2 linked regions of the Tribolium castaneum genome follow. The protein of the gene in region 1 purifies or fractionates together with the protein of each later gene. This does not show direct contact. Links are inferred from orthologs where the notes say so. Each region holds a gene or a part of one and is shown on either strand. Other genes may lie near its edges. The genes, in order: woc and row.

Region 1 (3,927 bases):
ACTATACTGAACATTATCATAAAACATGGTATTTTTTTCTAGAATTTCATTAGGGAAGTATCTGCGGCACATGGAACATTTCCCCGGCGCGATATTGTTAACGAAACTGAAAGCGACAAAACACCTATCGCTACAAAAATAATTCGGCGCTCCATCAGTCTCATATTCAATCGTGATCGGATTGTCAGTTTTGCAGACCGAACACTTGGTGCCCTCGTCGACTGTGGGTGGCCTATTATTGGTCATAATGTCGTACTTTTCCATACATTTTTGCGAACAGAAATCTTTAAACTGGCCTTTGTCGCCCACGGGGGCTAGAAAGCCGTCCGTTTCCGTCGACATGTCTTGCTGGCAGTAGGAGCAGACCTTCAGGCCCTTTTTATACTCCTCAAGGCAGTGACTTGAGCAAAACTGCCTAATGTCATTGCCGAAACGAACGCAATATTTCCCGAGAGAATTCGGCCGAACTTCGGCGTTACAACTCGCGCAACTCGACCCGATTTCCTTTTGGTACTTAGCTGCGGAAAAACACCGTCAACACAAAACACAACGCTGGCACAGACATACATAGACAAAACTCGTTACAAAAATCCATGATTTCCCAAGTCAAATTGTTCTCCTCATCGTCGGTTTTCTTTTTACAAACGACGCACTTGCGCTCAAAGGACAACTTAGGAGGCTCTCGATTAGTCGCCAAGTCTTTCACGCGGATCTCGCCCTCCCATGTCAACACGTAATTATTCGCGTTGTCTACTTTGAAATTGTCTAAGCAAGTGTCGTGGCAAATATACTGGACGTCGTCGTCTTTAGTAACGGTGTATTTGACTTTGCGTTTCTACAAAACTGGTTTACCGCCTGACATTATTATTTTTCACTTACCAAAACACATTGAAGACAAGTCTGGAGCTCCTCATTGCTGCACTTTGATATTTTAAACTTATTGGTGGAGGAAGACGCGTCGGTGGATGCTGCCGGCGGCTCAGGAGTGGCGCCATCCTCGGGAACTTCGTTAGAAGAGCTCGCTTCTGATATGTCTCTTAAGGGCGGGATCGAGAAAGCTGCTTCTTTCTCCTCCTGTTTTGCCCAAATGAGACAATTTTTGACACGGGGTAGTATTTACCTGTGATATGACTCGTTCAGTGTCGGGGATTATGCACAGCTCCTCATCGGCCCCTTCCTGATTTTCTGGAATGAAGCCATCGGACGCGATGGGGTCTTCCTCCAGCAACTCATCCTTGTTGTTTGTCTCTTTATCGTTGTCTTCTTTATCAATGTTGACGAATAAGGGGTTGTCTCTCTGCTCGTCGTCTTCATTTTCGGTGTTTCCTTCCGCGTTTTCATTGTCTGAAATGAGTTCAATGTGATAACATAACTACGATTTGGGTGATACCGTGCCTTTGTCTTCAGTGTTGCTTTTGTCAAGGACTGGCTGCTCATCCAGTCCCACATACTCGTATTCTTCGCGCGGCTCCTCATTTTCTACAGTTTTGTCAGCCTCGTCTTCACTTTGCTTGTCTTGAGATTCCTCGTGAACTGTGTCGTCTTTGGGCTCCTCTTCTTCAAACGTCTTCTCGCTCTCTTCACTCGTATTGGCGTCTTTATTCTCTTCTTCAATAACAGTGCTTTCGTCTGGGTTATCGATATCCATTTTTTCGTTAATTTTTTCAATTTCTTTGATCACGTCCGCTGTCATTTCTCCGATTTTATTCGCTTCGTCTTCCAACTTATCACAGCTATCTAAATTATCCGATTCAATGACTTCAGGTATAGTATTATCTTCAGGAGTTTGACAACTGAGCGGAGCTGACGTTGAGTCCAATTTGTCATTATTATCGTCTTTCTCAACCGGAGTTTGATCAGAAGTGTCCATAAGGGTGTCAAAGAGTTCTGGGTTTGTAGGTGCATCGTCTGGGGTTTCTTTGGAGTTATCATCACTTGGATTAGTCTGAGTGGAATCAACAATTTCCGGGTCAGCTGGCGGCTCTGCCTCCTCGCTACATTTCGGGACAATCTCCTCAAAAATGTCCTACAACCAAGAGATTAGCCACAGAGTTAGCCACCCCCTCGTGCACTTACACTGACGTTCATGATTAAAAACGACTTAAAAACCAAAGGGGAAGAAACTTAAACTAACACGGTTGTTTACTATTTAAACAATCCGCAAATAATTAAATACACCACACTTCTACACTAGCTTTAACAAACGCCGGCGTCCTCAAAATTAATCACATTTACAGCCAAATTATACCCAACAACTTAATTAATAGTTAAAACGATCCAGACTTTAGTATATTACATTTTTAAAGAAATTTACATCGATTTGCTGGAATTAAAAATCAAACTAACATTTTTTCACGAAAGTATTAACAATAATGGTGGCAGCTCGAGAAATAACAACATTGCTGCCAACCGACACGCGCCAGATACATAAGAAGCAAATCTCGGGGGTTTCCCTCCCGTGGCGGGCAAACTAAAATTCTAGCACAGAAATGCGAAAACAGCCAGTTCCTAGCTGTTTTTACTAAAATAAGTCGAGGAACAACGCAAATTCGGTTTTAGCCAAGCGGTGTAAAGGGCGACCGTGGCGCCGCCCTTGCGGCAATTGTCACCTGGTGGAGTAATTTGCCGATTTTTACATTATTATAACGTTTGGTCACAGTCAAGCACAAAAATAAGCAATGGTTTAGTTTTCGGCTCTTTGGACAACATTTAATAAGTTATAATCTCAGTTTAGGGTGTGTATTGCTAGTTGCCTATAGCACGTTACGTAAGAGTTATATTGGCTTACAGATAAACCATGGATAAAAACTGCAACAGTTTGACTGGTAGTTTGGAGGATATTTAAGAGATGTCACTGGTGTGGACTATGGGGCTCTGGGTCTATATTATATTTATGATCTTTTCTTATAGATAAAGGGCAATTCGTATGTTTTGTGATGTCTAGTCGTCTATAGGAGCGACAATGGTCATTTAACCTCGATTAAGAGCCATGCCGTGGTATATAATGGTGTGGGTTAGAGCAGCGCGGCTAGAAGTAGAATGAGCGCGCGTTGACCGGTCAGCGGTCGAGGGAGGTGTGAGGGATTCTCTAATTCAAGGCCAGTTAGTAATTGTCCGACTTCAATCGAAAAGCCGCCTCTTTGATCTCACCGCCTCGGCACGAACTATACAGCGCGGATATCAACTATTAAAATAGTGGTCCTTCGAGAAAAATTCGACTCTCGAGGAGGTTTCGTCATTTCTGATGCTTAAATAGACCGATCTCGGCGCCCGAAATAGCGTTTTAATTAAAAAGTTTGATGCGTTCTGTCATAAATGTCACAATAGAGGCGCTTGATTTTTGTTTATCTTTTCTATTTTTGTGCGGTGTAATAACGCACAATTTGGAAAAAAGACTAAATTAGAACTCTCAACGCGGCTGTGTTCTAGCCTTTAGGCTACGAACAATAGTTATTGTGGTTGTGGTTGCCAGTTATGGTGATCTTCATTTGCACCGTAACTTTAACGAGGCGGCGCTGGACCAATCACAAGGCCGGGTTATTGATAACCGTGACGTCACCTGTCAAAGTTTATCCCGATATATATAGTTGGAAGCCTTGGCCTAACTTAGTGATAATGAATGGAGACTATCCACTTACATAATTAAAACCATTCATGAATTAAAATCGAGTAATCCAATTAAGACGACCTTCTTATCGGGGAAAAATGTTATCGGGCCGAGTGGCGTCAAAATAATACGAGGGCTATTAAAAAATAGCTCGAAAAATTTGTGGTACACTTGACATGCGGCAGCCATGTTGAATCGTTTTACCGCCACAGCTGGCGGTCAGAGTGCTGAAGCAACGTTCCAGCGGCTCCTTTGATCTCACAGACAAGATGTAAAAGCTAAGGGCAGAGTCATCTAATCGAATTCAGAATTCTTAGGTT
Region 2 (3,927 bases), on another chromosome or scaffold:
ATGTTTGGTTGAAAGTGATCAGAGGTTTGAGGTGTGTACGGCCAGTATGGGGTTGGTTTGTTTTAGATTAAAGGGTGAGGATGGACGGACGAAAGAATTGTTAGATAGGCTGGCGAAACGGAAGAATATTTTCGTGATGCCGTATTATTATCAAAGTCGATTGGTTATTAGGTTTGTAATTTGTAGTAGATTTACGGAAGAAAAAGATGTGGTGTTCGCGTGGAGGGAGATAAAGAGTCAAGTAGAATAATAATTTACGTTAAGAGCGAGTTTTTTTTAACTATCGAATGACGTAAAACGCAGGTAACATTACGAGTATGGTTATGGTTTATTTTATCCTATCGAATATAAATAAAACAGATTATGCTATTTTTGTAGGTGTTTTAAAATCGCTTTTTTTTTCGTGAATAGCAGGTCGAAATTGAAAATTGTCTCCGAATTACGTGATAGTTTTGGGTCAGTTGTATTTATTAGTGTGATTGTTGTATTAAAAATAAAAAATAAATATTAAACTCAAGGAGGATTTTTTTATTTAAAAGTATTACAAATATAATATTCAATAGAACCTTACAGAACAGACGTGATAAGCATATAAAAAATCTGCTTTTGTAAAAGAAAAACGAGTTTGAAAGAAACGCAAACACTAATTAACTATGTTCGCAACAATTACTTTTTACAGTCTTGAACAATAACATCTTATTTACAAACGTAATATACTCTCTAGGTTTTAGTCTGTATCCATAGGACAGATATCATCAATAGTTTCAGAGTTTTTTTCCATTTGATTTCCTATTGCCACCGTTTCGACTGTTTCGCTGGCATTACAACTGTCAACTTCCATACTTTCACTTTCAACTGTCTCAGACTGTAATTCATTTACGTCTTTTGTATTTTCACTAACAGATTCGTTGTCTCGTGCTTCTGCACTGTGTTCTTTTATTTCCTCTTCTTCCACACACTTTACTTCATCATTTTCCGATTTATTATCAACAATTCCACTGTCATCTTCAGCTTCTTTTTGTTGAACGTCTTCTTGTTCCTTAATTCCACTCGTCGTTTCTTCAACTTCCTCATTTCTATGATCTTCTTGACCCTTATCAACAATGTCATTTGTTTTTTCTTCTTCCTCGTGAGGGTCTTCTTGTACTTTATCAATAACTTCACTTGTTTCTTCTTCAACATTTTTCTCTTCTTGGTCTTCTGGTGCCTTAACGATTTCACTTGTTTCTTTTTCAATATTTTTCTCTTGTTGATCTTCTTGTTCCTTATCAACCACTTCACTTGTTTCTTCTGCAATCTCTTTTTCTTGTTGGTCTTCTTGTCCCTTATCAACCACTTCACTTGTTTCTTCTTCAATCTCTTTCCCTTGATCTTCTTCTTGTCCCTTACCACCGACTTCACTTGCTTCTTCTTCAATCTCTTTCTCAGGATGGTCTTCTTGTTCCTTATCAACGACTTCACTTGTTTCTTCTTCAGTACCTTTCTCTTGATGGTCTTCCTGTCCAACTTGACTCTTATCCTCTTGGACTTCCTTTTGTTTCTCCGAGACATCCTTATTTTCACTTTCTTTAATTTCTTCAATTTCAGTCATACCATGTTTCTCTCCTTCAATTTTAACCCCTCCCCTGACCTCACTAATACTCAAGGGCTCTTCGTCATCTTTTACTTCAATGACTTCTTTTGGTGGTACCGGATGTTTCCTAGGCCTGCCGCGTTTCAAAATAATCGGTTCAGATCTTGTCGGTATAAGTCGGGGCAGATCATCTTTACTCGACGTCGCCTCTTCTGGTTTCCGCACCAAACCCAAAACATCAAGCATACTATGAGTGACGGTGGCCTCTTTCGCAGCCTCCTGAGATGGATACGCCGATTTGCGCTCGCAAATTGCCAAATGTTTAGCCAACATGTTACCTACGACAGACAAATTAACGGTTTTACCAACTAGACAAAAATTAATTACCATCGGTATCGCTGTAGCCACAAATACAAAACATCTCATAGGGGAGCTTCTCGGCCGGTAGTTTCGAATTGAGGAATTTACATTTAGCCACGTGGTTTTGCATGGCTGTGGTGCAACATGTCGAAAACTGGCAGTTTGGATTCTGACAACTATCAAATGACCTACAATTGAAAAATTAGACAATTTCGTAAAACAAAAGAAAAAACTTACGCGAAGTGTTTCGGTGAACTTAACGATTGTCCGCACTCTTTACAATTAAGATTCTTGTTAACGTTGAAATAAAGGGTCGAGAAATTGATCACTTTGGCATCATCTGGCCACTTGTCCATCTTGGATTTGGGCACCATGACGCCGTTTCTCGGTGCAAACGCTGGTACCAGTCCTGGTTTGCCTCTCTGCGAAGCGTGCATTTTGATCTGATGGTCTTTAAGAAACTCTTTTTGGATGAACCAAAGCGTGCACTTTCCGCACCGTTTCGCCAGCTGTTTTTTCTGATGTTTTTGTAAATGTTGGATGAAGTAGTTCATATTTTGCGATATGTTCCTCCCTCCCGAGTAAATCGTCGTCGATTTAAGACAGAACGGACACTGAATCGTCGTTCCGCGGTCGTGCTGTTGGTAGAAGTGATCCACGGCTTGCTTATGATTAGAACACCGGAACCCGCAAGTACCGCACAAATAGGGTAGTTCCGACGGGTTGTGTTCCCTTGACAAGTGTTTTCCTAGTATGAACGGATTCCGAAAGTGGGATTCGCAAATCAAACACACGAATCCGTTGTCAAACTTGGTTTCGTCAGGATGCGCGGTGTTAATATGCTTGAGCAGATCATTGGCTGATGGTACTATCGTCAGACAGTACTTGCACAATTGGACGTCATTCGACACGTTATGCGCATGTTTGAATAAGTGGTTCATGAGGGAGATGTTCGTATTAAACGTCAATTTACAGAAGGGGCACTTAATATTAATCATGGTATTATTCTTGGAGGGCGTAGTCGGAGAAATGGTACCGTAGTAGTAATTTTCAAGAGGTACCATCTGCTCAGGTACATCCGGCGAATGAGATTTACTAGGCCTTACTACCTCCTGTACCGGAGGTGGTGCAGGTGCAGAGGGTTGCGGTTTGCGCAAGCGGCTGTAGCGCTTTGGAGCGGGTTCCACCGGTTTCGAAGGAGTGGAAGTGGTGTAGGTCGTAATCGACCAGTTTTTGAATGGGTTTGCGCTGACTTTGTTCAACCGGTTAATGAGGGACGAACCCGAGTCGAACCGAGTCTGTTCCGAGATATGTTTGACCATATTGTCGAAACATTGCAAAACGGTGGTACCGTACCACTCCCTCCAGACCAATTCGTCGAGGAATTGCTGGATTATGGGTCGGGAAAGAAGAGATAACGTATTTTGGAACATTCGGGGGACGATGCGTCGCAGGTACTCCATTATAGTACGGTTGCTGTTCGCATAATCGTTGGATGTGTTTTGTTGGACGTGGAGGAAACCCAGTTGATGCAGTGTGTTTTTGTCAACTGTCAGATCTGTTACAATGATACTTTGCGGGTGCACCCAGTTGAACACCGGCTCAAGGATTTTTGAGAACCGTTTCTTGTAATTACGCTCAAGTTCGCTTAGCGGTTCCACCGCTCGCAGTCGTATATGTCTGGTGGTGGTTTCCAGAATTCCCAATACTTCCACTTTGACCTCTCGCTTGTTACCATCTTGGGACGTTGTCCCGAGACTTATCACCCCGATTTGAACTTTAACCCCCGGCCCACCCAATTGTTTAATATGGGAATATATTGCAACTGTACATACGGAGCGCAGCCAAGTGTACATACCTTTAACGTAGAGATTATCAACTTTGACCTGAAAACTACCAGTAGAAAAGTACACCAAACGACCCACTACACTTACCCATTGAGTAACGTTTTGCACAATCGTCTGGCAACACCAATGGTACAAAAGTTTCAAAAT

What was found.
Region 2: the proteins of woc (region 1) and row purify together in Drosophila melanogaster (affinity purification with western blotting; 3 studies listed by BioGRID, with this or other methods). This does not show direct contact. The link is inferred for Tribolium castaneum from reciprocal best matches to the Drosophila melanogaster genes woc and row.

Annotation. Positions count from the first base shown.
Region 1 is NC_087403.1:1,790,899-1,794,825, reverse strand, and holds the start of woc (zinc finger MYM-type protein 3), read right to left. Parts: upstream 2,585-3,927; 5' UTR 2,089-2,584; coding exon 2,077-2,088; intron 2,027-2,076; coding exon 1,396-2,026; intron 1,345-1,395; coding exon 1,121-1,344; intron 1,075-1,120; coding exon 880-1,074; intron 836-879; coding exon 568-835; intron 519-567; coding exon 1-518.
Region 2 is NC_087398.1:5,518,410-5,522,336, forward strand, and holds the end of row (uncharacterized protein row), read right to left. Parts: coding exon 3,868-3,927; intron 3,820-3,867; coding exon 2,171-3,819; intron 2,122-2,170; coding exon 1,961-2,121; intron 1,912-1,960; coding exon 728-1,911; 3' UTR 508-727; downstream 1-507. Other genes in the region: aromatic-L-amino-acid decarboxylase, read left to right, coding at 1-250.